Linked DNA regions of Coturnix japonica. The main gene of each other region encodes a partner of the protein of the gene in region 4 in a complex. Links are inferred from orthologs where the notes say so. Each region holds a gene or a part of one and is shown on either strand. Other genes may lie near its edges.

The links.
Region 1: the proteins of GNAO1 (region 4) and HRH3 are in contact, whole or in part, in a cryo-EM structure (PDB 8YN7), measured with the Homo sapiens proteins. The link is inferred for Coturnix japonica from reciprocal best matches to the Homo sapiens genes GNAO1 and HRH3. Residues at the interface, in NP_066268.1 of Homo sapiens: Ile28, Ala31, Lys32, Asp33, Val34, Lys193, Asn194, Leu195, Asn312, Pro315, Asn316, Lys317, Glu318, Ile319, Tyr320, Phe336, Thr340, Asp341, Ile343, Ile344, Ala345, Asn347, Leu348, Arg349, Gly350, Cys351, Gly352, Leu353, Tyr354; in NP_009163.2 of Homo sapiens: Asn69, Asp131, Arg132, Ser135, Val136, Ala139, Val140, Tyr142, Arg143, Ala144, Gly147, Ile221, Ile225, Arg228, Arg232, Thr345, Phe348, Arg349, Arg352, Val356, Leu360, Cys415, His416, His417.
Region 2: the proteins of GNAO1 (region 4) and C3a anaphylatoxin chemotactic receptor-like are in contact, whole or in part, in a cryo-EM structure (PDB 8I95), measured with the Homo sapiens proteins. The link is inferred for Coturnix japonica from reciprocal best matches to the Homo sapiens genes GNAO1 and C3AR1. Residues at the interface, in NP_066268.1 of Homo sapiens: Ile28, Ala31, Lys32, Asp33, Val34, Asn194, Leu195, Ser264, Asn316, Glu318, Tyr320, Asp341, Ile342, Ile343, Ile344, Ala345, Asn347, Leu348, Arg349, Gly350, Cys351, Gly352, Leu353, Tyr354; in NP_001313404.1 of Homo sapiens: Asn57, Asp119, Arg120, Val123, Val124, Pro127, Ile128, Gln131, Asn132, Arg134, Asn135, Tyr356, Ile359, Arg362, Gly366, Arg367, Phe368, Ser371, Lys374, Thr375, Val378, Leu438.
Region 3: the proteins of GNAO1 (region 4) and CHRM2 are in contact, whole or in part, in a cryo-EM structure (PDB 7T8X), measured with the Homo sapiens proteins. The link is inferred for Coturnix japonica from reciprocal best matches to the Homo sapiens genes GNAO1 and CHRM2. Residues at the interface, in NP_066268.1 of Homo sapiens: Lys24, Ile28, Ala31, Lys32, Leu195, Tyr320, Asp337, Ala338, Thr340, Asp341, Ile343, Ala345, Asn347, Leu348, Gly350, Cys351, Gly352, Leu353, Tyr354; in NP_000730.1 of Homo sapiens: Asn58, Arg121, Cys124, Val125, Pro128, Leu129, Thr130, Pro132, Val133, Lys134, Thr136, Ile209, Ser213, Lys214, Ser215, Arg216, Ile217, Arg381, Lys384, Val385, Thr388, Ile389, Cys443.
Region 5: the proteins of GNAO1 (region 4) and GALR1 are in contact, whole or in part, in a cryo-EM structure (PDB 7XJJ), measured with the Homo sapiens proteins. The link is inferred for Coturnix japonica from reciprocal best matches to the Homo sapiens genes GNAO1 and GALR1. Residues at the interface, in NP_066268.1 of Homo sapiens: Ser264, Asn316, Glu318, Tyr320, Asp337, Asp341, Ile343, Ile344, Ala345, Asn347, Leu348, Arg349, Gly350, Cys351, Gly352, Leu353, Tyr354; in NP_001471.2 of Homo sapiens: Thr70, Arg133, Ala136, Ile137, Ser140, Arg141, His226, Leu227, Leu231, Asn233, Ser235, Lys236, Lys237, Ser238, Ala240, Ser241, Lys244, Thr245, Thr248, Leu306, Ser307, Glu308, Asn309.
Region 6: the proteins of GNAO1 (region 4) and RGS16 are in contact, whole or in part, in a crystal structure (PDB 3C7K), measured with the Mus musculus proteins. The link is inferred for Coturnix japonica from reciprocal best matches to the Homo sapiens genes GNAO1 and RGS16. Residues at the interface, in NP_034438.1 of Mus musculus: Glu64, Asp65, Gln68, Ser75, Arg86, Thr117, Val180, Lys181, Thr182, Thr183, Gly184, Ile185, Val186, Gln205, Arg206, Ser207, Glu208, Lys210, Lys211, His214, His236, Glu237, Asp238, Glu239; in NP_035397.2 of Mus musculus: Glu85, Phe86, Ser87, Glu89, Asn90, Glu124, Ala125, Pro126, Glu128, Val129, Asn130, Asp132, His133, Glu134, Leu161, Lys164, Asp165, Ser166, Arg169, Lys172.
Region 7: the proteins of GNAO1 (region 4) and ADRA2A are in contact, whole or in part, in a cryo-EM structure (PDB 7W6P), measured with the Homo sapiens proteins. The link is inferred for Coturnix japonica from reciprocal best matches to the Homo sapiens genes GNAO1 and ADRA2A. Residues at the interface, in NP_066268.1 of Homo sapiens: Ile28, Lys32, Lys193, Asn194, Leu195, Asp218, Phe336, Thr340, Asp341, Ile343, Ile344, Ala345, Asn347, Leu348, Gly350, Cys351, Gly352, Leu353, Tyr354; in NP_000672.3 of Homo sapiens: Arg77, Arg146, Ser149, Ile150, Ala153, Ile154, Asn157, Leu158, Arg160, Pro162, Ile234, Ala238, Arg241, Arg383, Arg386, Phe387, Val390, Leu391, Phe444, Asn445, His446.

What each region holds. Positions count from the first base shown.
Region 1 is NC_029535.1:6,944,620-6,948,879, forward strand, and holds the start of HRH3 (histamine H3 receptor), read right to left. Parts: upstream 2,801-4,260; 5' UTR 2,776-2,800; coding exon 2,562-2,775; intron 2,208-2,561; coding exon 2,041-2,207; intron 1,211-2,040; coding exon 350-1,210; 3' UTR 1-349. UniProt on the Homo sapiens protein: The H3 subclass of histamine receptors could mediate the histamine signals in CNS and peripheral nervous system. Signals through the inhibition of adenylate cyclase and displays high constitutive activity (spontaneous activity in the absence of agonist).
Region 2 is NC_029516.1:61,386,569-61,388,793, reverse strand, and holds the end of C3a anaphylatoxin chemotactic receptor-like, read right to left. Parts: 5' UTR 2,225-2,225; coding exon 851-2,224; 3' UTR 501-850; downstream 1-500.
Region 3 is NC_029516.1:54,483,653-54,487,741, reverse strand, and holds the start of CHRM2 (muscarinic acetylcholine receptor M2), read right to left. Parts: upstream 2,801-4,089; 5' UTR 2,660-2,800; exon of another isoform or gene 2,212-2,659; intron 2,197-2,211; 5' UTR 2,045-2,196; intron 1-2,044. UniProt on the Homo sapiens protein: The muscarinic acetylcholine receptor mediates various cellular responses, including inhibition of adenylate cyclase, breakdown of phosphoinositides and modulation of potassium channels through the action of G proteins.
Region 4 is NC_029526.1:480,271-484,257, forward strand, and holds the start of GNAO1 (guanine nucleotide-binding protein G(o) subunit alpha), read right to left. Parts: upstream 2,801-3,987; 5' UTR 2,542-2,800; coding exon 2,424-2,541; intron 2,351-2,423; coding exon 2,308-2,350; intron 1-2,307. UniProt on the Homo sapiens protein: Guanine nucleotide-binding proteins (G proteins) function as transducers downstream of G protein-coupled receptors (GPCRs) in numerous signaling cascades.
Region 5 is NC_029517.1:81,400,084-81,404,069, forward strand, and holds the start of GALR1 (galanin receptor type 1), read right to left. Parts: upstream 2,801-3,986; 5' UTR 1,847-2,800; coding exon 1,157-1,846; intron 1-1,156. UniProt on the Homo sapiens protein: Receptor for the hormone galanin. The activity of this receptor is mediated by G proteins that inhibit adenylate cyclase activity.
Region 6 is NC_029523.1:6,076,672-6,080,682, forward strand, and holds the start of RGS16 (regulator of G-protein signaling 16), read right to left. Parts: upstream 2,801-4,011; 5' UTR 2,718-2,800; coding exon 2,638-2,717; intron 2,192-2,637; exon of another isoform or gene 2,101-2,191; coding exon of another isoform or gene 2,096-2,100; intron 1,805-2,095; coding exon 1,703-1,804; intron 1,571-1,702; exon of another isoform or gene 1,304-1,570; coding exon of another isoform or gene 1,230-1,303; intron 1,092-1,229; coding exon 1,030-1,091; intron 1-1,029. UniProt on the Homo sapiens protein: Regulates G protein-coupled receptor signaling cascades. Inhibits signal transduction by increasing the GTPase activity of G protein alpha subunits, thereby driving them into their inactive GDP-bound form.
Region 7 is NC_029521.1:23,172,893-23,176,901, forward strand, and holds the start of ADRA2A (alpha-2A adrenergic receptor), read left to right. Parts: upstream 1-1,209; 5' UTR 1,210-1,578; coding exon 1,579-2,913; 3' UTR 2,914-4,009. UniProt on the Homo sapiens protein: Alpha-2 adrenergic receptors mediate the catecholamine-induced inhibition of adenylate cyclase through the action of G proteins.

The DNA.
Region 1 (4,260 bases), on a different chromosome or scaffold from region 4:
CTTTAGTTTAATGATTCAAACGTTAGTGTAGCCCGGTGGGTTTGGGGTAGGTCTTTATTTTCTGCGTTTCTCATTTCAACAAAACGTTGGTGCTGCTCAGGCTGACTAGGTGGCAGCAGAGCTCTGCTGTGCTGGTGGAGGACACATCACTGCCTGTGGTGAACGTTAACATGGAAAAAAACCAACCTCCTCACTGCTCTTCTGCTTGGTTTTGTTGGTGATGAACTGGCATAAGTTAATAGTGATCTCCCAGCTGCCTTCCTCACGTGCTGCAGAGCAGTGATCCCAGCTTCTGGAGAAGCAATATTACGCCTGTGTTACAAAGGCTCTCCTGCACACAAGGCTAGCTTCATTTCCAGCAGTTCTGCAGGGGATTGTGAGGTTGAATCTTCAGCTTCTTTGGACAGAGGAGTTTAATAAAAGCTCTTCTGAAGCTGTAGTGACAGAGGGGATACAGGACGGGGTTGACAGCTGAGTTGATCCACAGCAGCCAAAAGGAAGTCTCGTACCAGTAGTCAGAGATGCAGTGGCCGTGGCAGCCGGCACGAATAATCATAAGGAGGGTGTACGGAGCCCAGCAAATCCCAAAAATACCCACAATGACTGCCAGCGATTTGGCTACTTTCTTGTCTCTGGAGAGCCTGAAGCGGTGGGTCATGCCCTGGGAGACTATCTTCATCCTTTTCTCTAAGGACAGTGCTGAATCCTTACAGCCCTTTTTGTTGCAGCACTGGGATCTCCCCGAGCTGGCTGTCAACGGGTCTTTTGCTCCAGTGGAAGCTGCTGCTCGTGCTTCGCTCTTAGAGAGGCTGAGGGTTGCAGCCGGCTCCTTCTGCTCCCACTTGTAGCACTTTGAAGGAAGCTTTGCTTCTGGGCTCATTTCCATCTCTTCAGCGAAGGACTGGTTGTGCACTTCGTGGAAAACATCCAGGCGTAGTTTGGTCCGCTTTTGTATGTTCAGGTAAATGCTCAGGTTGAAAAACATGACGCTGATAAAAGGGGTGAAAAATTCCAGCGTGGAGGCTGTCATGAGAAAGTACCAGTTGTAGAAAAACTCAGCATAGCATTCCCCGGTGGGTATGATGCTCTCACCCGAGATATACTCCCAGCTGATAATGGCAGGTCCATAAAGCAGGAATGCTAAGACCCACACCATCACCATCTTCAGCACTGCTCGCCTGGTGTTGCCTTGCTGGGCTCTGTAGGAGACCTGCAATGAGGAAACCTTTCTGTAAGCACGGCCACGCACACCAACTGGTTGAGGCATTTCACGAACGCGCTGTTGGCATTTCTGGTACAGCTGCAAGGCAATATCACAGCGCTCTAACAAATCCCCATGCTACAGGCAGCAGGAGCAATTGCTGGATATATCACACACCTGCCAGGAAGACTTAGAACCTTCATCTCGCAGCACCAGAAAGAGACGTGAGTTCTGCTCGGTGGAAATGCATTGCTTTGCTTCAAACCCAGCAGTTTGCTGCTCCCAGCCTCATACCTGAGCTGCCCCCAGCTATGCTGCACCTCCTGGGGACAGGCATGCATCACACACCGGGCATTCAGCTCTGCCTTGATCTGAACATGAGCACCGTGCAGCTGACCCAGGTTGTTCTCAGAGTCAAGGAGAAACCAGGCACCTGTGGCTGTGATCAGCCTGGGCAAGGCTGCACCACACCTCGCAGTACCCACAGACTGAGCACAGTGCCCTGCTGAAGTTGGTACTGAAATCTCCCCAGCTTTGGGTCTGCAATCTGCTTGTCTGCCCCGGAGATCACAGATCTCTGCAATTCATAGCTGCCTTCCTGTCATCTGCAAAGGAACACCAGCACAGTGGGGTCCAGGATATGTTTTAAATACGCCAAAAACACTCATCAGAAACCAGAGCTCAATTAGGTATTTGTGGATAACCATTCCTTTCCATCTCCAGGCTGAAAGATTAACAATTCTGTGGACGACTGAGAAAGCTTTTAATTATTGAGTCTTATCTGGAGAATAAAGCAGGAAGAGAATCATTTCCCTCTCGGCTGCTGTGCCGGGACTCACCGCTCTTGTCACCGAGAGGAATCTGTCATAGCTGATCAGCACGATGTTGAAGACCGAAGAGGTGCAGAGAAGGTAATCAACTACCAGCCAGAGTTTGCAGAGGCTTCTCCCAAAGATCCATCTCCCTGTCAGCACATAGGGCACGTACAAGGGAATGCAGAAGGCACCTGCAACCAGAGGGCTCCGTTTGTTCAGACACGCGGGGCCGTGACCTGCAGCAGCACCGCCGCCCGTGTGCTCAGCTGGGCTCTGCTCCGCTGGGTGCGGGATTGGGGCGTTGGATGTGGGATGTGAGATTTGGGATTGGGATGTGGGATACGGGATGTGGGATGCGGGATGCAGGATGTGGGATGTGGGATGTGGGATGTGTGATACGGGCGGCCGCTGCGGGGCAGAGGGGTCGGGGAGAAGCGGCGCTGCGGGACGGAAGCCCGGAGCTGCGGCCGGGAGAGCGGCTGGACCCCGCGCCGCCCTCGCCGCGAAGTTTCGGACGCGTTGCTTCGCGGCGGGCGGCACTTTACCTACTAAGAAATCCGAGATGGCCAGGTTGAGGAGGAAGAAGTTGTTCTGGGTGCGCAAGCTGGAGTCCGCCACGAAAGCCAGCATCACCAGCGCGTTGCCGGCCACGGTGACGGCGATCAGCAGAGCCATGAGCGCGCCCAGCGCCGCGGTGCCGGCGGCTGCGAAGCGCCCGGAGGCGGCGGCGGATCCGTTCAACGCCCCGCCGCTCTCCATGGCCCGCACCGCTCCGCACCGCCGGAGCTGCCGCCCCTCCCCGGCCCGGCCCCGCCTCCCGCAGCCGGGGCGCATCCCCCGCTCCCCGCCGCCGCCCCGAGCATCCCCGCACCGCTCGCACGGAACGCTGCCGGCCCCTCGTTCCTTTGTCCCTTCGGTTCCCTCGATCCTTCCGTAGTATCCACGCGAGTCCCGCTAAGCATCCCCCCAGAGACAGAGGCCGTGGGGAGTGCTGACGATTTCTGCCCCGATGTCGCGATGTGGATGTAAACGCCTAATTAAAGTCAGCCCCGAATGCCCTCGTGCAGGTGGAGGAAAGCAGCGATGCTCTTGCCCATGGTCCTCACGGGCAGCAAGGGAAAGGTACAGATCTCGCCCTGCCCAGCCCACGACCTGCAAACCGGGGGCTTGTTGCCCTTTGCTTCTGGCTGCAGGGAGTCGATTCCTCCTCCCTCAGCTCGTTTGGCTTTTCATAGTTAAGGGAGTTACTTTTGCTTGAATTTATGTATATATATATTTTTCCAAAGCTCGAGCAGAGGATGAAGGAGCTCCAGCATCGCGGCAGAGCTGGCATTTGCTGGCACCTCTTCCCATCCCTTCACTTTCGGTCCGGGCTGGCAGGAATCGCTGTGTCCGCCCCGGCTCCACCACCGCGTCCCAACAGAGGAGGTCACTGTGAGCCCGTGAAGCGCTGCCGGGGACAGAGAGCGGGGCTTCGAGTCGGGTTTATGGTGGGATGATGTTTAACAGCCGACTCTTTCATTCCGCGGCTGTTTGAGAGCTCGCGCTGTTTGTAATCACCAGCTATTCAGCCAGTTGTTAGTATTCATTAAGACATCTATGCATTCCAAATGACTGCGTGCATAGGGCGGCACTGACACTGCGGGCTGCTCCTTAGCTGTCAGTCATTATTCAGTTTGTTCCATCAGAACAGAAAGCAGAAATCATGCTTTGGACCGAAGGTAATTTACAAAGGGATTCCAACATGTTACCTGGACTTTTCAATTACTGTTTAACCAGAATGACCTGCCTGGCACCTTGGGTCAGTAAGGGACAGCAGAGCTGGGCAGAACAGAGTTTTCCTGCTCTGTTTCTCTCTTGCTTCAGCAGGACAACTATCGATCCAATGTATTTCTGCAGTCATGCTGTGTTGGTAAAGAAACAAAGGAAATCACCCAGCCTAGAAGGGTTAATTAGCAGATTACATACAGATATGCAAGCAGATAGTACAGTGGCTCATGTTTTGACCTGGCTTATGCACTACATAAGTCACATGTAGATGTCATGTTCATAAGTGCTTGTATGTGTTCATTAGGGTGCACTGATTAGTCTGTTGTCACCTGTCAGGGTTTTCTTCTTGCCCTCAGAACTGTGTATCACCTGGTCCTCAGGCAGACACAAGAGCAGATAACCAGTATAAAGATCCCAACCCAAAGCTCCCTATTCAACCCAATTCTTAAAGGCTTCTGGAATGTCTCAGCTGAG
Region 2 (2,225 bases), on a different chromosome or scaffold from region 4:
GCCCCACTTACGTGTACATTGCAACTGAGACATTTTAGGTTACGGTTAGGCTGTCTGTTTTCCCAACACCGAGACCAGCACATCTTTCAACTCTCATCTTGGCTAGAAAAGCTGTGAAAACTACACTGTGGCTTAGTAGCTCCCCAAATTCTGTTTGTGATAACCTGAAATACAGTAGGGATATTTGGGCAGCCTCAAACACCTTGTTAAAGGAAAGTCTGTGACTCTAATGTTGGAAGGAGTGCTGAGGAGCCAGTGAGTAAATGCTAATGAACATAGTTACAGCATGAGAATTAGGGCAGTTACCACTGTACAGTGATATATTTGCTGGGATAAACATGATACCTTAGACATCTACTAGTACATGAAAATCAGTTCAGTGCATCTGACTGGAGAATGTGCTGTTCCTATGCAATGCTGTAGTAAACCGTAGTGCTTCACTCTACCTATCTTCAGAAAAAAACCCTCTCAGACCCAAGTACAGTCAAAGGAGACATCAGTGTTGCATTTTATCTTTAATAGACATGCAAATAACTGATTATTTTCTTATTCAGCAGTTCAGAAGTTGAAGTACATGATTGCACTACAAACCATTCTGCAAGCCTTCTTTACTCTTTAAAGTATTCTGGGTCTCTTGCTTCACTAGTCTTTCCCTAAAAATTATTACTCTTAGTATTTCTGACTTCCCATCTTGCTATAGTAGGATATAAAGTGGATTAGCAGATCTAATCTGAACCATCACAGTGCCCCGTGTGCAATTCTGTTCAGTAATCAGATGTGTTAAAGCAAAAAAAGTGGAGAGTGGTTGATGTACAGAGCTCTTTCTGCAGTAATGATGGGAAGTCCAGCATTAGACTGTGGTACTAACATCCTTATCGTTTGAAGTCTTGCTTCTGTCAAGAGAGTAAGGGGTTGAACATGTTGGTTCCTCTGTAAAGACTCCTTCCAAGACTCCTTGCAGTGATTGCTTTGCCTTTGCCCTGAAGTCCCGCCCCACAAAAACATACAGCAGAGGGTTGATGCAGCTGTTGGCATATGCAAGAGCTACAGAGAGGTGATCCCAAAGGATCAGTGACTCCTTCAGTTCTGTACCGGGAGTAGCCACAAGGGACAGAAACCCAACTGCGTGGTAGGGAGCCCAGCAGATGAAAAATGCAGCTATCACAAGAATGATAGTTCTCAGCATCTTGCTTTGTGGCTTACGGTAGTTACTTCTTAGCATCCTGGAAGCAATAAGGGCGTAGCAAACTGCCATTATGCCGAAAGGAAGTATGAAGCCAAAGACAGCCCTAGTGATAGTTATTACAATTAAGGGAAGGGGTATGGCATAATCATTACCACTAAAGACATCGTCAAAATCAAGCAAATCAAGAGTATCAAGTAGCTTTAAATCGAAGTCATTGTTGGATAGTACAGGCACATTAGTACTAGGTAGATCATCCAATAGCCTGATGTCTGGATAGGGAGTCGAATTTAACAAGGAGTACACATCTACAGTGGCATGAGAAAGGTGAGCTGCTGCAATTGCACCATTGTGGGTGGACATGCTGTTTGCCTGAAAATCTGGATAGCTATCAGTAGGCTGATGAGCAAAGACGGTGCTAACATGTGTGACAGCTGGTACTGAAGGTGAGTATTCTTCCAATATCCCAGTTACAAGATCACTGTCATCTGCATAATCTGGTACTTCATAATCTCCAAAACTGTACCCACACTCAGTTTTTCCACCACCAGTGACAGTGTTGCGGTAGTGAAAGACTGGACAACAGAAAATGAAGGCCAGGATCCAAATGCCACTGCAGACGAGTGAAATAAACTTGACTGTTCGATGGTTTTGACACCAGACTGGTTTCATCACGAGGAGGCACCGGTCTATGCTGATCACCATAAGTAGGAAAACACTAGCAAACATGGTGAAGATTATGACTGATGGGATGACTTTGCAGAGAAACCAACCATATGGCCAGTGTTCATTGAGGAACAAGTGAACAATGAAGAATGGCAAAGACAAGCAGCACATGAAGTCAGCCACAGCAAGGTTTAGGAACCAGATGATGTTCACAGACCTCTTCATTTTCAAACCAGCTACCCAGATAACCAACCCATTGCCTGGGATACCTATGATGAAAACAAGGATGAAGATAACCAGGGAGCTGATGGATTCTGGTGCATAGTATACAGCATCCTGATCATGTGAACTGCTGTTAACCAGGAGCGGAGGCATT
Region 3 (4,089 bases), on a different chromosome or scaffold from region 4:
GAGTTACAAGTGGATCAGTTATTTCCTAAGATCTTGGTTTTGTATTAGAGAAGATTGTGGGCTTGACAAGCTGGCAAACCTGTGGTACTACTTCTCTCTCTCCAGGTGCAAGAGCAAACAGGGTTGTTTTTGCAATCCAGAGGTCCTGCAGAGGGGAAGCTCGACCAAAGTTATAATCAAAAAGAGCCTAAAGGAGAGAGAGTATACTCTGCACAACATAACACAGTTTATAGACGAGTCATTGAAAACGGCTGGTGTCATAAACTATGTAATTGAGGCTGGCACGTATTTAGACAGAGCTAGGATTGCAGGCAATGCAATACCATAAAAGCAGACAGAGCGCCTACTCCTAATCTCCCTTATTAACCTTCCTCATTGACAATCTCTTTAAAAAACCCCACAAACAACAACATCAACAATAACAACAAAAACCCAACACTGCTAAAACTCACCCTCAATTTTATTTCCTCTCCCCTTTTTCTCAAGTGCTAAAGAAAAATGTGCAAGCACACTGGATGACACTTAAGTGGGGAGACATACTTCTCTGGCTGAATTTTCAGCAAGAAATATCCCTGTCCCCATCCTCCAGTACCAGTTGAAGAAAAAAGAGTTTGCATAAAGGTACTGCAAGCGCTTGAAAAGAATATGGATAAAAAGAGCTTTTCTGGAGTGTGGTGAAAGTCCCCTGTCCATTCTCCACCGACGGGGTGCAGTGATCACCCCGAGGCACATAAAAAGAGCCTACATGCCTGGTGGCTCTGCGGAGACCCCAGCTGAACAGCAGCTCCCAGTCGAGAGTGAAGAAGGGTTTGAAAGAAACTCGCTGGTGGGGTAGGGCAGCACTTTGGCCCTACAGAGCTCCGAAAATGGCTGGACTTTGAGAGGGTAACCGACACCACAGCTCCCGGGGCAGTCCGGGAGGTATTCTTGTTCGCGCTGTCAGAGCAGCTCCCTCTCGAGGCTCGCTCCTCCCCGCCGCAGGCACCCCGTGTCTGCGACCCGGAGCAGAGGGAGCCCGGAGGAGCAGCCGGCAGAGGCTTACCCCCACACACACCAGATCAGTCGGAACGTGGTAGCGGGTAGCGCTGAGCCCGACCCTGGAGCATCCTCACATCCTCCCCCGGATCCACCTGTGACTGGACCGCAGGGGGCACCTACCCAGAGAAGTGAAGTCGGAACTGGGGAAACCTCCTGCCTTTCTCGCCTCTGGCGGAACCCCAGCCCCCTTCCAGCCCCCTCCCCCTTATCCCCCCCTTGAGACCTGAGGCCACGGGGATGGGCGCTGACCCTGAACACATGCACGGTCCCTAGGTGGGGTGCTGAGGAACCGCACTGGCATGGAAGAAGTCTCCTTTTCCTATTGCCCTCTCCGTCTCTGCCCTCCTCACCCCTAGGGCAGGCTCCACTCCCAGCTCCCGAGGACATTTTGCAGGACTCACCGGCAAACATGTCACAGTGGGATTTGGGACGGGTAGCCCGGGAGACGTCCCTGTGTTGGAACTCAACATTTACATTATTTAAAACAAAAACTGACAAACAAACAGAAAAGCCAACTTGAGAAGCGCTTGGTAAATGTGAGGATTTCCCTAAATCGGGTTACCGCGTCTCTCCTTCCTGGCTGTACCATTTAGCCTCGGTTCCGGGATGAGTATCACAGCTGTAACTCAGCAGAGGAAATCTCTGCTGGGGCTTTGCCTTCTCTCCCCTCGCTCCCAGCCCCCGATGACCGCAGTGCGATAGACCCTTTCAGCAAAAGTTTCCCCATGTTTTGCTCTGCTCCTTCTATTAGGAAGCAAAACGTAAGGTCGTTTCTTGGACATTATTTTCTTGGCGGGAGCTTTCCCTATGACGGCAGCAGATGAAACTGTAGGTGCGGCGAGAAAGGGGAGGAGGGCAGAAGGCGAGAAAGAAAAGGGTGGGGGGAAAAATACCAAAATAAAGACTGAAAGAACAAGAAAAAAAAGGAAGAGGAAGGGAAGAAAAAAAAAAAAGAGAGAGAGAGAGAGAGAGAGGAAACATCAATGAAAAAGCGAAGCTTTCTTACCTGTGATCCAATCACCAGAAGTTGCATCCCATCCCGCTGCAAGCGGCTCTTTGAGAGCGGCGGCTGCGGAGTGGCCCCGGCTCTGGCGGCAGAGCATGCGAGCTGCGCGCATCAGCGCCCGCAGGCAGACGCTTTATCTTTCTCTTCCATATCTTCCAAGAGGAGGGAGGGGGGGGGGGGGGGGGGAGAAGACAGATTACTTGGTGCCGTGATAATGAGGGGAAAGAATAACAGTTGGAAAGCATTAAACGAGAGGTGGCATTGTCCGGGTTGATGGAGTTTTTGTCTCTCCCTCGCTCTCTCTTTCCCTCCCACATGCGCAGGCACACACACACACACACACACACACACACACACACACACACCCCGCACTCTCTCCGTGGCACTGGCCCTTGGGAGTCTGCTCCAGCTCAGCCAAGATCAGCTTTAAAATACATATATATGTATGTACACACACATATATACACACATATATACATAGAGCTATCAGACCTGGCTTAAAGGTTTAGACAAAACTGGAGAATTTAAAAATAGAGGATACTGGGGCTCATAAATGAGCCGATTATAATTCGTATTTCCCACAGTACTCCTAAGGAAATGAGGACAAGCTGCCACCTTCATGAGGGTTGGCAGCAAGGAGGGGATCCGGGCGCCCAGGTAAGCATCTCACAGTGCTGGTGGCTGTGCGGCTGTGGGTCCGGGTGCTGTGTGCTGTGTGTGGGTGTGTGAGCGCCAAGTGGGCTCGATTAGCTGCAATGGGCAGGCAATTTCTGCAGAGAACATTTACAATTTTCTTTCAATATGACAGGATTAGTTGCTGTTGAAGGCTCTCCTCCAATAAGATCAGCACTGCTCTCTGATTTGGTGGCTTTGCTGAATAGAAATTACTGATTCTTGTTATCTTTCAACACACTCTTCTTCTTCAGACACTCCCCTCTTCCTCATCAGAAGTCTTTATCTACAATTTGCACATCTGAACTGATTTTTTTTTGTTACCTCTTCCCCATTTTTTCAGCTCAAAACTCCCCCACTTTATTTGTTTTTATTATTATTTTATTTTATTTTATTTTATTTTATTTTATTTTATTTCATTTTATTTTATTTTTGCCATTCTGTGATGGCTCTAAGTCTCACTTGATATATGGGAGGAAAAAGAGATCTGGGTTTTAGATTATTTCAGTCACCGGAGTCTCTGTGCACTGTGGGGAAAATGTACCAAATCCAGATTAGTTTTTCAAACTGATTATTGTGCTGAAATATTCATGGGATGCTGCTTCCCCAGAACAATGACAAAACAATTAGGAGAAAGAGACACATTCTGTGAACAGCACTTAATTCTCCTTGGATGTATGTAAAGCACTCCCTTTTAATTAATAGTCATTAGGCTGCAAAGTATTTACTTTGCTTAAGGGAACTTTTAGGTTCCATGGAAGTAATCTAGATCTAAACATCTTCAGGTTTATTTCCTTTGTTCTGGACCAGAATGCATTTGTGGGCTGGGATTGTGGATTTCTTCCCTAATATTCAGGGCTGCTGGAGTGGCAAACAGAGGAAGGGAGTTCATCTGATCTATAGTATGAAGGCTGAGGGGACGGAGGTGCAGAACAAACAGGAAAGAAGGGAGCACTCTATGAAGGTGACCCCAGTTTCTGCCTGAGTGCTGCATGCACTGCCTTTCTCACCCAGCTCTCTTCTTGAAGGACCACTGGATACATTGCCCACTAACTCCTCTCCAACCTCCCCCTTCGCTTTGAAGAAGTTATTTCTTGTAATGGGTTTGCTCTGAGCAGAGAAACTGCCTAGAGTACTTGCAGATATTAAGCTGTTCCTGGGTAGATCTCACCATTGGTTTTACCCTCCAAAAGGGAGGTGTACGTTCAGGATACCAGGATTCTGAAATTCTCTGCTGGGCCCCGTGCATCTCCTGCCCTTGGTGATAGGACTCACCCACAGGCAGGGAGCTCTGAGATTTGAAGGCACTCATGTTTCAGTGTTATACAAGTCTGTTTTTCTTTACCTGAGAGTACTTTCACAAGGTGTAATTG
Region 4 (3,987 bases):
CCCGTGTAATGGAGCTTGACCAGGTGAAATGCTAATGCCTGCATTATATTTAAATTCATTTTCAGAAGCATTGGTTTCCCCTGCGGTGCCGGCTCCCCCCGGCTGCTGCCGCGTCCCCACCCAGCCCCACTGCTCGCCCGGAGCTCCCAGCATGGCAGCCAGCTCCGCATCCTCAGGCACAAGGCTGCAGGCTGCCGTGTGCCACATTAGGGCTGCTCCCTTCAACATATAGACCTACAACAGGGTGTTTTTCAGCCCTCACTCTACTAATATAGCCCAGCCAGCCGGCTTTTATCTGGAACCAGTTCGTTTAAACAACAAGAGCTCTGGTCCCCGCGGCACAGGAGCCCGTGCGTGGTTGTGTAAGGCACCATGGCCACAGCTGCCCCTTCACCCACAGCGCTGTCGCTGTTCCAGTGGCAGCCACAGCCTCTCCTTCCACCAAAGCATCGCCCGCCATTCCAGCACGCTCCTGCAGAAGCCATTCCTAGAGATTAAATAATTTAGTGGTGTTCATCTGCAGCAGTTCCTCTCCCGATCCACCTTTCACATACAAACAAGTGCAAACCAAACCGATCCTCCCGGCCCCACATCCCCAAATGCCCTTTGACGGGGCCTCGGAGCCTTTGCACACCGATAGCAGCGGGAGAGGCGGATGGAACGGCACCGAGGGCGAGGCTGCTCGCTCCCACAGCCCTGCAGCTCTATGGGAAGAACGCTGCCTCGGGCGGGGACGGTGGTTCGGTCCTCTGGGACCCCCCCGCTACAGGAGATGTGCTGTTCCCCGTACAATCACGGCACCGCGCCGGGCTGCGGGCCCGCGGCGAGCCCACGCCCGAGGGTTGGCGAGCGGCGCCCGAGCCCCTTCGGCTATTTCCGAGCCTGCTCGGCTCCCCCCCGACCGCCCCCGAGCGCTCTCCGAAGGCAGCCGAGCGCCGAGGGAGGAGACGAGCGCTGCGCTCCCCGCGGTTCGAGTCCCCGCTGGGCGCTGTCCACCACGAGAACCGCCTGAAAGCCGCGCCACGCCGCGCCCGAGGGACAGCGCGGAGGGACTGCGGATGGCTACGGGCACACCGGGCACACCGGGCACACCGGGCACACCGGGCACATCGGGCACACCGCCCGCCCCACGGCCCCTCCCAGACACCGGCTCCTTCCCTATCGGGAAACAAGAACCGCTCCGTGCCTCTACCACCGTGACACCCAGCCCCAATGCACAGCTATGGCGCCTGCTCGTTCCAGTGGGAGGCTGCGGCTGGATGGGCTTTAATTAAAGGGAAGAAAAGGGAATGGAGTAATTCTGCACCTCCACACCTCCGTTGGTTCCCTGCACCTTCACTGGCTTCCCCGCACCTCCATTAGCTCCCTGTGCCTCTGCTGGCTCTCTCATGCCTCCGTTGGATCCCCATGCCTCCATTGAGCTCCCCACACCCCCGTTGACTCTCCCACTCTTCTGTACACTCTCCCACACCTCTATATGATGTCCTACATCTCTATAGGTTCTCTCACATCTCCAATGGCTCTTCCATACTTCTGTTGTCTCTCTCACACCACCACTGACTCTCCCACATCTCTATATGCTCTCCCAGATCTCTAAAGGCCCTCCCACACCTCTGTTGGCTCTCCCACATCTCTACAAGGCTCTCCCAAATCTCTGTAGGCTCTCCTACATCTCTGTTGACTCTCCTACATCTCTGTTGACTCTCCCACACCTCTGTTGGCTCTCCCACACCTCTACAGGCTCTCCCACCCCTCATTATGCTCTCCCACAGCCCCGCTGGCTCTCCCCCTGGAAGCACCGCCTGGCCACGTGCTGGGATCACTGTGTGCTGGGGGCACGGTGTGGGGCAGCCATGTCAGCCCACTCCCATTGGGGCCCGGCACAGCTGTCAGGGAGGTGCTGCATGAAGGCAGGGCTGATTTTTCAGGGCGCGTTGGGTCGCGTGTTTTTCCTTTCCCCTTTTTAATAACCCGTTTTCAACATAATTGGCGACCGGCGGCCAAGTTCGCCTCTCATTAATTAAAAGGCTCAAATCTCGGGTAAAAGGGGCTTTGGGTGGCAGCGAGCCTCGCTTTAAATCCGCATTACGGGCGGATTTCGTGCTTTTTTCCCCCTCCCTCCTCCTCCTCCTCCCGAGCGCCGGTCCCGGCCGCAGCCGCCCACCGCCCGCCCCGCCGCCCTCATCCCGGCGTTCAGCACCACGGGGCCCCGAACAGCAGCGGCCGCCGCCTCCCGCCCGGCGCTGCCCTCGGGTACAACATGGCGCCCGCGGCCCTCCGCGCCGCCCCGCGCCCCGCGGCACTCACTTCATCTGCTTCACGATGGTGCTCTTCCCCGACTCTCCGGCCCCTGCGGGACAGAGAGAGACAAGCGGTGAGCGCGGGGCGCGGCGGCGCGGGGCGCGGAGCGGAGCGGGGCTCACCGAGCAGCAGCAGCTTCACGTCTTTGGCCGCGCTGATGCCGTCCTCCTTCAGGTTCTTCTCGATGGCCTTGCTGCGCTCCAGGGCGGCCCGCTCCTCGGCGCTCAGGGTACATCCCATGGCGAGAACGGATTGAATGGAATTAAAAAGAAAAAAAAAGAAAAGAAAAAGAAAAAAAAAAAGGGAGGGGATAAAAAAAAAAGCGCAGCCCCCGCCGCCGCCGGGCGCACCGAGCTGCGGGCAGCGCAACGCCGACAGCCGCGGGGATTAACAAAGGCCTGCGGGCTCCGCAGCGGCGGGGCCGGCGGCTCCGTGCCCGAGCGCTCAGCGCATCCACGGGCTGCGGGCAGCGCGGGCGGCCGCGGGCGGGGCGGGGCGGAGCTGAAGGAGGAGGAGGAGCGAAGGGGGAGGAGGAACGTGACGAACGGGGCGGGGCCGCTCCGGGCTGCGCGCCTGGCGGGGCGCGGGGATGCGGCGGCGGTGCGGGATGTGCGGGATGTGCCGGGGGAGGGGGACGCGCTCCGCAGGCCTCGCCCGCTGCCGTGACGCGCGAGTACCGCGCATGCTCCCAGCACAGCGCATGAGGGAACGGGCTGGGTCAGATGGAGAGGAGCTCGGCATGGAGCTCGGCATGGAGCTCGGCATGGAGCTCGGCATGGAGCTCATGGCTCTGCGACCCCTGACAGCAGGTTGGGGGGGGGCTCGGCCTCTGCTCCAGATAACAGCGGCGGGGTGAGAGGTAGTGACCTCGAGCTGCACCGCGGATGGTCAGGTTGGGGACTGGGAACTATTCCTTCTTTAAGAGTGAGGCGGTGGCACAGCTGCGCAGGGAAGGGGGGAGTCACCATCCATGGAGCTGTCAGAGCCGTGCCATGTGGTCCTGGTGGGGTGAGCTGGGGTTGGACCCAGGGAAGGGAGAGCTCTGATTGATTCTATGAAACCAAGGCCTGTATTCTGGGAGCAGGCTGCCCTCTGCCACGAGCAGCCAGGCCGAGGAGCTCACTGAAGGAACAGAGCTGCTGCCACAGCCCTCTCCACCTCCCTGCAAACAGAACCAGAAGGATGCTGTGGGGCCGCTGCCCGCTGTGACTATCCATAATGAAACACCCGGCCCAGGTGGGGCTGGGCACAGGCTGACATTATATGACCTCCTTCCCATAAAGCACCGTTTCCATTTTCCTTCTACACCTCTGAAACAAAGGGGAGAAGCGTGGCATGTGGTTAACAGTGTATAGCAGAGATGTGAGGCAGAGCAGACAAAGGGAAGTAAAAGGGAGCTCATAAATAATGTTAGCGTACTCAAGGGCCAGCGGTATTTACCGAACATTTGTGAGCTAATAGGTACTGAATATCTGAATTTGGGGTAATTTATTTCTGGGAGCCCAGGGGAAAAGGGTATACCTGCATGGGAAAGCAAACCTACTGCCTGTATTCAGCAGGGAGCGGGTGGGGGTGGGGGTGGCTGCGGAGCAATTCCTGCTCTTTCATACTTGAGCAGATCTCCTGTGTAAAATCAATAGGATCAGAATTTCAATCAGTAGGTTTCATTTCAATGGTACCAGCCAG
Region 5 (3,986 bases), on a different chromosome or scaffold from region 4:
CATTTTACATAGGAAAACATGTTTTGTTTTATTTTTTCGCCATTTGCCAGGCTGGACTTGTTTCACTACCAACAATAGGTTAAAAACATCATCCTTTGAGTTCTGCATAACTCAGAGTTTTAATAGAGTTGGATGCTGTTCCAACCTGAATTTCCACAGTTAAACTAACTTTATATATATACAATACATACAACTGAAGATAAAATTATCTGTTCAGATTAAATGCATTAACTAAGCCTTTTTAACGTGCTTATTAAAGATGGGATTTTGTGACACCTAAGCAGTCCCCATCTGCAAAGGTGGTTCTGTCCACTTGAACCCAAATTACTGCCTAAGGAGAAATCCCATGACTGATGCTGCTGGTGCACACTAGGAGGATCTCTGTGCAGCTCACTGGGTCACAGCCTGTGCTTGAGTCCTTCTTGATACTGCATCAAAGGCTGAAATTAACATCTGCAGAAAAACATGACCATTTTCCAGAGCAGAAAGCCCTTAAGTACACCCATTCAGGCAAATGCACTAAATGATTTCCTACTCAGGTTCTCACTTGTTGCTTCCTAGCACCTGACCTTGCTTAATTCAGAGGTAAATCTCCCTCTGCAGAGCAGGGTGAGGTTAACAATGACCAGGTGACACCTTATTCCTTTAGCTCATAATATTTTAATGGGATCAGACGAAATTGGTGGGATTTTGCTGTCTTGTTTTCAGCACACCTCATTTCAAAAGAGCTGCACTGCTTTGTAGGAAGCCTGAACAACTTGTTGCTTGGTTGCACTTCACTGGAGTTAAACTCTTCATGCAGCACAGCAAGGAAATGGGAGAGTTGTGGTCACAGAGGAAGCAGCAGAGCACTGGGGCTTTCTGACACTTTGTAAGGAGAGGGGACCCGGAAGTGTCTGAAGAACACACAACACCCCCAGCTACTCCATGCAGCCCTCGACCTGTCTGCACCACACACACACGTCCCCAGCTATCCCTCCACTATAAAACCCATCCCCACAAACTCATTTTTGCCCCATCACCTCCTTATGCTGCTGGTTCCCAACAATGCCATGTCCATCTGCGCACCGGACATGTCCCCACAGCTCACGGATACCCACCACCGCTATCACCATTGCTTTTTACAATCCCTTCCCCACCACCTGCCCTGCCCCACCTTGGCATAGCAGAAAGAGATGAGCAGCAGAGGGAGCAGATAACCGAAGACAAAGGTGCAGACCACGTAGACCTTCTTGTGGCGCGGGTTGGGCCAGTGTTCCCAGCAGAAGGTCTGGTCGCTGCCATTGCGGTGGAAGAGGCGCTGGTGATGAGCCACTGGTGAGGCCATGGCAAAGGAGAGAGCCCAGATGAGCCCGACTCCCAGCAGCGCGTTGCGGGGGACGCGCAGGGTGGAGGAGCGCCGTGAGTGCACAATGGCCACATAGCGGTCCACGGACATGGCCGAGAGCGTGAAGATGCTCACCAGCATGGAGACGGTGAAGAAGTAATGGATGAACTTGCAGATGAAGGCACCCAGCACCCAGGTGGGTAGCACATAGACCGTGGACTGGAAGGGGATGCAGAAGAGCAGGTAGGCCAGGTCGGCGATACTCAGGTTCAGGATAAAGATGTTGGTGGTGCTGCGGCGCTTGCCCGGCTTGCTGCGAGCCAGCACCGTGATCACCAGCGAGTTTCCCAGCACCCCCAGGGCAAAGATCAAGCCGAAGACGATCAGGGTGATGAAGTTCTCGATGCCGATGCCGAAAAGGGGCTTCCCCTCAGTCTCCAGCAGCCCGGAGGCGTTGAACTCCCCGCGGGGCGACTCTGCCCCCTCCTGGGACCGGTTGAGGGGCTCCCCCGGTTCCATCCTCTCCTGTTGACGCCAAGCAAAGTTTCCGCGGGTGGAAGGCGGAGGCAAAGCCCCGCGACAGGTGGCGGCCACCCCCGCCAGCGCCGGGCAGGGGTGGATGGTTAGAGGGTAGGAGGAGGAGAAGGAGGAGGAGGAGGAAGGCGCCGCCGCCGCCCAACGTGCGCCGCCGGGTGCGGAGGAGGATCGGCAGCCCCGGGCAAGCTGCGCTCTCCCTTCCCTCCGCCTCCGCCTCCGCCAGGCTCGCCCTGGCTCCCGCTGTGCCGGCAGGTCGGGCAAAGCGGGGAGCAGAGGGACTTCTTTATTTCCCGATTTAGACGGTAATCGGCTTCTCAGGGCAGCCGCCTCGGAAAAGTTCTTCGTGCCTCTTGTGCCGGCTGTTGGGCAGGGTGGAGCGGCGGCAGGCGGGGCTGCGGGAGTTCTGCATCGAGCTCGGACAGGTAGCAGGCAGTAGGAATTCGGACGGACTATTCAAAGCCCGGTCTCACTGTTTTCACCTCCCTCACAGGCTGCTATTATATGTTCCGTCATGGGCGGTAGCTCGCAGGGCAAAAAGTGGCAGGCGCTGTTATTTCATACAAGCAAATAAAAGACCACCTTTCACGTACCAATCACGAAGAACGTGTTCCCAAAGCTCCCCGTTGCTCTGCTCTGTGCCCTGTTAGTCAGCGATGAGCTCAGAGCCGGGCAGCAGCAGGGAGCTCTTCCAGGGACCAAAATTAGAGCGTCTAAATAGTGGTTCTTCTCAGAGCTGGGCAGAATGCAGAGCCTCCCGCAGGCTGTGTGTATGAGTTCACGTAAATACTCTCACACACGTGCACCTTGCCAATAAAACAGGATTGCTAGAGAGTTCTTGAAATGTTTTCGATCTGTGTGCTACATCTGATGTTAGCATTGCTCCGTCTCTCTTCTCAAGGGATGAAACTGTGAATTGTTGCAAATCCCCTCCACCCATATGGAGGGACGGGCTGGGAGAGCCGTGTCTTCCTTCAAATACTTCTTTTATGTGTCCTATTTACTCAAGATCTCAGTGCTACTTTGCAGCACCTTCCACGTGGGGAGCAGTGGGGACAAAGAGAACCAGCTGTTCAGATGTGTTTCCTTAGGACACGAGCTTTTGTTTGCTTCTCTTTAGACCACAGTTTAACGGTTTTTTTCCCCCCACCTTTCCTTTTGCTGCTTGTATTAGGACAACCTTTCAGAAGCTCTGCATCAGCTGACTGTAGAGCTATTGACTTCTGCAGATCTAGATGGGAATTAATCCTACTTATCATCTGGTGCATTATGTCAAAAGTAAAACATTATGGGAGAGCGCAATTCAGTTTCTATAGATTTCTACGGATTTAGATCGAGCTGCTTCCTATATTCATCATGACTCAGTTTTGGAGTTACAAATAACTAAAAATAAACCACTGAAGACTCCTAAGAGATTTGAGGGTTCCTTTGTTGTTGTTGTTTTTAGTGTGTGTACCTCATCACTACATTGTCATGTTCAGTTACTGCTTGGACCTACTACTACTGTATACTTCTGTTAGGGATCTGAGAACAGATGTTAAACATTTTTAGAATGTATCAGATACAGCAGACTTATCAGAAATATCCAAGTATATGGTCAAAAAAAAATGGAAGTATACATAAATTCCCTTAGTGTAACTGATGCCTATGTTTATTGCTATGAATTCCTTTATATGAGACACAAGAAGCTGATGTTTTGCTTTTGAGTCAGAGAATATCCTGGATTGGAAGACATCTACAAGAATCATAGAGCCCAGCTCCTGGCTCCACATGGAGCAACCGAAATTCAAACCTTTTGTCTGAAAGCAGTGACCAGACACCCCTTGAACTCCAGCCCTGGGCAACCCGTTCTATGCCCACCACCCTCTGGTGCAGACACTTTCCTTAACTCCCAGCTGTCCCTCCCCTGGCACAGCTCCATTCTGTTCCTTCAGGTTAATCATGTGCTGTTGCCAGACATCAGCCTTTTTTATTCTGTCAGGAGTGAAACCTTAGCCTTGCTGAAGCTAGTGCTAACATTGAGTTAATTGCAACTCTCCATCTGAAATGTGTCATTAGTCCTCATTGCTCAGGTCTTCTTCTATTTTCTCAGGAAATATTTTCCTTTGAATGTTATAGTCTGAAT
Region 6 (4,011 bases), on a different chromosome or scaffold from region 4:
TGGATGTGGCGTTGCCCACCATCTCCCTAGGAGACCATACCGCAGTATCAGTGGATTTCCTTTCCCTCTGGACAAACTCCAGCCTCTGAACCTCTGCTGACTGGCCTTAAGGCTCCAATAAAGTCCTTTCCCACAGACAAATAATCCTCCAGTTTTATTTATCTGACCTTTCTGTAATGAGTCTTTAGAGTGGTTTCTTTACAGCTTCGGAAAAGAGCTAATTCTATGAAGGGGAAATCCACTGAGATATGAGTATGCACGCGGGAATAAGGAGAGATGGCTTTGCTTTTATTTCCCAGCTGGGATTTGGGGGAATGAGATGCTGAGGAATATGGGAGAGTGCCTGCAGCAGGGGAACCAGGCTTGGGGGATGTATTTATTCAGTTACGAAGCTGGAGATGTTTGCTAACCTTCACAGCACATGACAAAGGCTGGAAAAAAGATTCCTGGCCATAGACTAGCACTGCGGAAGGACTGTCTGTTGCCATGGAATAAAATCAAGCAAACACTTTTGTGTTCATATTTGGTCTCCTTGCTGGCCCTACAGGTACAACGCCTTACAAGAACCTTATGCTCTGCTGTGAATTTTGGAGAGGAAAATGGAGGCGTGGATCTCAGCACAGCAGTTGAACGCCTTCTCTTCGTGTAAGAGCTACTGGAGAGGTATAGGATGGGCAGACAGAGGGCAGCAATGTTTTCCAAAGCAATGAAATCCTGCATGAAAGCAGCTACACGGGCAGCAGACATGAGCCCAGAGAATGCAGTGGAAAGATACCTTCCAGCTGAAGGTCCGTGCCATTGCTCAGCATGCCCACGTCAATGCTCCTGGCCCACAGAGCTGTGAGACAGCACTTCTGCTCCCCAAAAACATCCAGCCAGAAGGGAAGGGTAAAGCCAAAGGGACCTGGCTGCACAATGGGCAACAGGGGTACCTTCCGAGTTTCTAGAGCAGCTAATTGAGGAGGAGACCTGGCTCCGGGATACATCCTACATGCACTTGTAAAGAGGAAAAAACAAAATCCGACTCACTTTTACTCTTGAGGAGCTGGTCAAAGGATTCCCTCCACTCAAGCACCTCTCGTGAGGAGTCTCTGCAAGAAAACAAACAACAGGACGTGAGGCTTGCTGTCTTGCCGGCGAAGGATGGGAGCACATCCACGATGAGACAGCACAAGAAGGGAAGCAGCAGCACCAGCAGGAAGCCACAGCGAGACCCCAGTATCCTTTACCTGTGAGCCCTCTTTCCTTTCTCTTTCCCCCTTTCTTTTACATTCCCTGATGGCTCCCCAGACCTCAGCTCCATCGTGCAGCTTTGGCTGGGCAGTCTTCTCTAGAGAACGCTCAGTGGAGCCCTCTTCCCCAGTAGCAGCCCAGCAGAGCCCCCTCTGCATGCAGGCGTCTGTCCGACAGCCGCGAGGTTCAGTGTTTTGTTTTTAGTGCTGTATGCATTCCCTGGGGGACTCAGGTACGGGTTTGAGGTACCAGCACCTATGGGAGCCCTCTGGCTTTCCAGCTTAACGCTAAGCCCCCACTCCGCCTAATGCCGGTGCATCCCTCTCCAATCCGACTTTATAACTGGTGCAGCTGGGACGTGGCAGGCAGCGGGGCGGGACCACCCAGATGAGCAGCACCGCATCCTCCCAGCCAAGCAGAGCATCCCCAGAGACAGCCCAGCCCAAGGGGACCCGCAGCCTCAGCTTACCTCCTCCTGGAGCCCAACTGTAGCTTGCACGCTGCCCCAACGCCATGCTTCAGCTCCGGTTTATGCAGCAGGATCCCCAAGCGGGTCTTGAGTTCCTTGGCTCTGGATGGGAGGAAATAGAGAGGTTGGAATGTGGGGACTGACACCACCATCCCTGCTGGCAGGGGCAGCCCTCTCTCCTCCAGCTCTCTGGCTTTCTTGCTTTCTGCTGCATGCAACAAGCAATCCTCTAATGGCTTTTTCTGCTCCCTGGCAACCGTGCTCTGTAGCGAGCTGGAAAAATCACAGCACTCGCCTTCTGCTCAGCAGAGAGGGAGCATCATCTCCATGCCGTGCTGCTGCAGCTCCTCCCCTGCTTTTTGGGGGTGCCACAGAGCTGTCACCAGCACCTACCCCATGCCTCAGGAGCCTGGACAGCACAATGGCAGCAGTGCCAACTCAGAGCCAGATGCATCCCCATGGAGTGTCCTGCAGCAACAGGGCAGGAGCTGCTTCTAAATCCACTCCTCTCCCTTTGGTCCCCTGGCAGTACGCAGCGCTGCTGGCATCCCAGGGCACCCGTGCAGAAATAAGTGATTAAATGTCAGGGCACCAGCACTGCACTGCTTTGTAGCCTTGTTTGGCAGGATGTCACCGAGTGCTGTGAGCACCTCGATTAAAACAGTGCTTCTGCCAGCCTGTGCAGTGACAAAGTCGGCAGAACAAACCTTGTGTGTGCACACAGTGAGATGAGGGGCAGCCTTTGTGTTTTACCTCTACATCCCTCCCTGGGAACCACAGGAAATCTTGCATCCGTCTCTAGTTGAGAGTTCAGTGCAGTCTGCACCCTGATCTCTAGCAAAACATCATGACAGCAGAGGCTGATCCGATGTCAGGAGCATCTTTTCCGGCTAACCCTCTGCTTCCCAGCGCTGCGGCGTGGCAAAGCCCCTTACCTCTCCAGGCAAGCGATGGGAAGCGCAGCCAATCCTCGGCACATGCTGAGAGCTGGGCACCAAGGCATCCAGCAACACATCGGATCCTCGGGGCACCACCTGTGCTGCTGTGTGGTGTGCTGCTGGCTGAAACAGCATCGAGGAGCTGTGCTTATATGGGGTGGGAGGGCTGGGAGGGTATCCGGCTCCACTCCAGCCTCCAGCCAACCAACAGCTGCTCAGCACGAGCAGAGAAGATAACAGCTTGGGTAGGTGCAAAGGGAGGGGGTGGGAGGCTTGTCCTTGAGCATCACAGTCAGCACTGCTTCCTCGATAAGTGGAAAAAACAGGCTGGCGTCCACCGACGTGTGCAGCCTGCTGAGTAACCGCGGGGACAGCAGAGGGGACAAGCAATTAGTCAGCACCATCCCACCAGCTGATGACTCCAAACACTCGTCCCTGCGCTGCTGGTGTGGTGGCATCACTGCAGCAGGGACATGGGGACCAGCACACCTTGCTGACCCCGTGGCAGCCCCCCAGCACCATGCTGCTGTGCAGAGCAGAGTGAAGAGACGTTTTGGTGCTACACAAAGTAACACATTAATGGTCAGAGCTCACAGGAGACGACCTGTCCATGGCAGAGGGGTTGGAATTAGATGATCTTTAGGGTCCCCTCCAACCTAAACCATTCTACAATCCTTATGTTTCCCTTCCAACTCAGGATGTTCTGTAGTTCTGTGATTGTTGGCCTTGATGTTCCAGCCTTCACTTTGCTCCAGCCCCTTCCTCCTTACTGCTTTTTCCCATAGAAACAAGGTGTAGATATGCCTCATTCTCCCTGTAGCATCTTTTGAACCACTCAGCTCAGATGAGAGGCTTGATGGAAGTCAGAAGTGAAGAAAAGGCTGCAATGGGAGCCTGGGCCATGCAAATCCCACAGGAGGGAGAGAATCTTTATAAAACCTCAGCAGGAGGGAAACCATAGAACCATCAGTGTTGGAAAAGACATGCAAGATTACAAAGTCCAACCTTCAGCCTGACCTATGGAGACCCACCACTAGTCCTTGTCCATTTGTGTCACATCCACACATCTTTCCAGTACCCCCAGGGATGAGGGACCCCTCATGATTAGGTTTTGATCTTTCCCCTTTAGTGGGTGAGCTCCAGCATGGGAGATGGTCCGTATAATATTTTCTAATGCACAGCTCTTCATTAGGGTTATGCAATAGCTTCTGAGCCCAACGACGTGCATGTACTCGGATGTCTTCATTCTGTTCAATATCTAATTTAATTACGTGCTTCCTGTCTCATTTAGCTTAGCAGCCTCCTGCAGCTCCATCCTGCGTTCTGTATTATCAGCCCTTGTTTTGGAACACAAAAACCCAGCTGTGTCGC
Region 7 (4,009 bases), on a different chromosome or scaffold from region 4:
AGGAGAGAGAAAAATCAAAGCAGCTGTTGTGGTTTCATCATTTACATCTACACTCTGTCTAAGTTGAGGAATGTGGCTCTGAAGATGCGCTGGGTGCACCAGAAAGGCACGAGGTCCCAGCACAGCACCCCCAGCCTTGCTGCAGCCCCAGGTGAGTCCCTGCACCCTGTCTCCATGTGCCCTGTGGTGTGAAGTCAGATTTTACAGATTGCACCTACTCTGATGGAGGTCAGTGTGCATAGGAAAGTGTGTGTGTGTGTGTGTGTGTCACTGTGGCCTCAGTTTAGAGACTTGAAGGCACTCTCTGCAGATGGCATCTGTAAAATGGGCATCTCCCCCCACTGCCTTATCACCCGTGTCAGCCCTGCAGGCTGTACTTAGCAGCTCCCACACCCCACATCCCAGGCCCTGCTTTGTGTCACTGCTTATAGCACAGTGTGGGGATGAGGGAAAAGGGCTTTGTCCCTCTTGCACGTCAAATGCCTTTATTAGCTCAAGCACCTGGTGTGGTAATTAATTGAGAGCTGCCTGAACCCTGATCATCCTTAGGGACATCTAAAAGTGAGAGCAAAGAGCCCACGAGAGTTAAAGCAGGGGCTGTAGCGGTCACCGCTCTGTGCGTGCTGAGAGCTGGGCGTCACCAGGTGTGCCACCACTGCTCTTTGTTGTTAATGAGGTTCTGTGATGCTGCTGCAATTCAGGGGGGCAAAGTCACGGGGGTCTGAGGCTGCTCTCTTCCGTGGGGCTGCCGCCCGCCTTCCATCCTCCTGCGTGTAGGGGGCACTGCGGGAGCTGGGCTGGGGCGGCGACCCCCTGGTGCCGGCTGCTGAGGTTCGGGTGCCGCGAACCGCGACCTCGCGTGGGTGCCGCGGCCTCGTGGGCCACTGCGTGCAGTGCAGTGCGGTGCGGCGGCCAGCAGGTGCCACTGCCCCCCCGCGCTGCCTGGGGCCGCTGCCGCCGCCCGGCTGCTCCCCCCACTTCGCGTTCCCCCAACACGCGACGGTCTGAAGCTGCCCCAGGGCCGGGTGTGTGCGGGGGTGGGGGGAAGAGAGGGGGGAGCTTTCCCGGGACACGGCCGCGAGGGGAGGGGAGCCAGTGCGCGATTGGGTGGCACCGCGCCGTAAGGCTGCGATACTCGGGGGGAGTCGGGGCTGGGGGGCGAGGGGGTCGCGGGGCTGCGGGGGCAGCGTGCAGGACGCGGACGGGGCTGAACCTGTCGGCGCTGGAGGTGAAGCTGCGATATGTGTGTGCGTCTCTGTGTGTGTGTGTGTGTGTGTGTGTGTGTGTATGCGTGTGCGCGCAACGGGGGCAGCTCCCCACGTGGGGCTGACGCGGCAGCCCCGGCCTGATCCGGGGCTATAAAACGGCTCAGCGACGAGCGAAGCAGAGCAGCCTCCGCCGGCTGCAGCCCCGACCCCGCTCCGCTCCGAGCCCGGCATGAGCCGCGCCCGCCCGCGCCCCCCCGGCCGCCGCCTCTCAGCCCCCGCCCGGGCGGCGCCGCTGTAGGAGCGCGGAGCCCCGCGGAGAGCCGGGTGGGGCAGGGGGCGAAGGGCGGGGGGTGTCCGCGCAGCGGGGTTGATGTTTAACCCGGAGCGCCCGTTCACGGAGAGGGGCCACTTCTTCTCCTCCATGGAGTACCAGCGGCAGCTGGAGGAGGAGGAGGGCTACCCGCCTCCCGGCGCCAACGGGACTTTCAACGACAGCGCGGCCGGGCTGGGATGGAGCATGCCGTACCCCCTGCACACCACCATCACCCTCATCAGCCTGGCGGGCTTGCTCATGCTCTTCACCGTCTTCGGCAACGTCCTGGTCATCATTGCCGTCTTCACCAGCCGGGCGCTGAGGGCCCCCCAGAACCTCTTCCTGGTGTCCCTGGCCTCTGCCGACATCCTGGTGGCCACCCTGGTCATCCCCTTCTCCCTGGCCAACGAGCTGATGGGCTATTGGTACTTTGGCAAAGTGTGGTGCGAGATCTACCTGGCGCTGGATGTGCTCTTCTGCACCTCCTCCATCGTCCACCTGTGCGCCATCAGCCTGGACCGCTACTGGTCCATCACACAAGCCGTCGAGTACAACCTCAAGCGCACCCCGCGCCGCATCAAGTGCATCATCTTCATCGTCTGGGTCATCTCAGCCGTCATTTCCTTCCCACCGCTCATCTCCATAGAGAAGAAAAGTGTGCAGAAGGTGAACCAGTGGGCATCAGGGTGCAAGATCAATGACGAGAAGTGGTACATCATCTCGTCGAGCATCGGCTCCTTCTTCACCCCGTGCCTCATCATGATCCTGGTCTACGTGCGCATCTATCAGATAGCCAAGAGACGAACCAGGGTCCCGCTGAACAAGAGGGCGGAGCGCCCAGAGAAAAAGCAGAACGGCTTGGCCGACAAGGAGGACCTGCCAGCCTCAGCCCAGCTCAATGGGGAGAAAGCAGCCGGAGCTGGTGATGGGCAGGAGGGAGAGGTCAATGGCATAGACATGGAGGAAACCTCCTCCTCTGAGCACCAGGAGAACAGCCAGCCCAAGAAAGCAGAGAGACCCCTGCGGGGAAAGACCAAGACTAAGCTGAGCCAGATAAAGCCTGGGGACGCTTTGCCCAGGAAGACAGAGGAGGAGAGGAACACCAAAGGGTCCCGGTGGAGGGGCCGGCAGAACCGGGAGAAGCGCTTCACCTTTGTGCTGGCCGTGGTGATGGGGGTCTTCGTGCTCTGCTGGTTCCCCTTCTTCTTCACCTACACACTGACTGCAGTCTGCAAGAGCTGCTCTGTGCCTCCCACCCTCTTCAAATTCTTCTTCTGGTTCGGTTACTGCAATAGCTCCCTCAACCCAGTCATCTACACCATCTTCAACCAGGACTTCAGACGGGCCTTCAAAAGGATCCTCTGCAGGATAGAGAGGAAAAGGATCGTTTGAAGGACCCACAGGAATGGGCAGGACTAATAATTCAAGACTTTGCAAGAGAGTAAGGCACGACTGTCCTTGGGCTGTGCTTGCATGGGATGGTTTCCTTCAACTTCTGAGCAGGAAGCCTTCCAAACCCGAGATGAGCCCACTGAAATGCCCAACAGCGGCAGCGAGGAGCGGCAGGCAAGTGGAGGTCTGAGCCTGGCACTCAGCTCCCAGGGGAGGATGGCTTTCGATTCGCTTGGTTTACTTTGTGAGGTTTCTTTCTTTTGCCACAGAGTCTCTCAGTGGATGTTTTCATGACTGCTCAGTTTGACTCTTTAAAGACAGATGACGCACAGCTCCGTGAAGCGAACAGCAAAGCGGGAGTATGCCCCCTTCAGAGGTGTTGGCTTTTTGTTTTGTTGTATCTTCCCCACTCCCCCCCCCACCCCCCCCTCCTGTTGTATATGTAATTAGTTTTAACCCCCTTGTAAAATACAGTGTTGTATCTCTGAATCTGAACGTCTTAATTTTTGTAAGGCAAGCAGCTTCGAAACTGTGAATGCTTTAATTATGTTTGACACCTGAAAACTCCCTTTCTTCCCACTCCCTGAAATCCCCCTTTGCTCAAAACCAGCAAAGAGTTAGAGCAGTTTCTCCTGCCTGGCAAGTGGGTAAAATCACCAACATTTCCATTTCCAGTGTCCTGTTGTTGTTCTTTTTTCTATTTCTATTTCTTTTCCTTTTTTTCTTTTTTCTTTCTTTTTTTTTTTTTTTTTTGGCTCTAAAGCTGAGGATCCTGCTCCCCCCCAGGCTAGCTTTTCTTTCATGTTTTTTTCCCCTTTTCTCTCTGTCCTAACCTGGTTCTGTTGAATTCAGCGCTGCCCATGATATAAGAAGGCAGAGCTGTAATTTCCACATCCCTACCAGTTGCAGCAGAGCCAAGGGGTGGTTGCTGTGCAGGCGGGCACCCAAGGGCTGCTAAGGGCTCTTTCTCATGCTGTGCAGAGCTTGGGATCCAGCCAAGCTCCCAGCAACTTCCCCTCGGCTGATATAACACCGTATCAAAGTTCCAACGTGTGTTCAATGCTAACTCGGTTCCCCCACCCCTGACTGTACATAG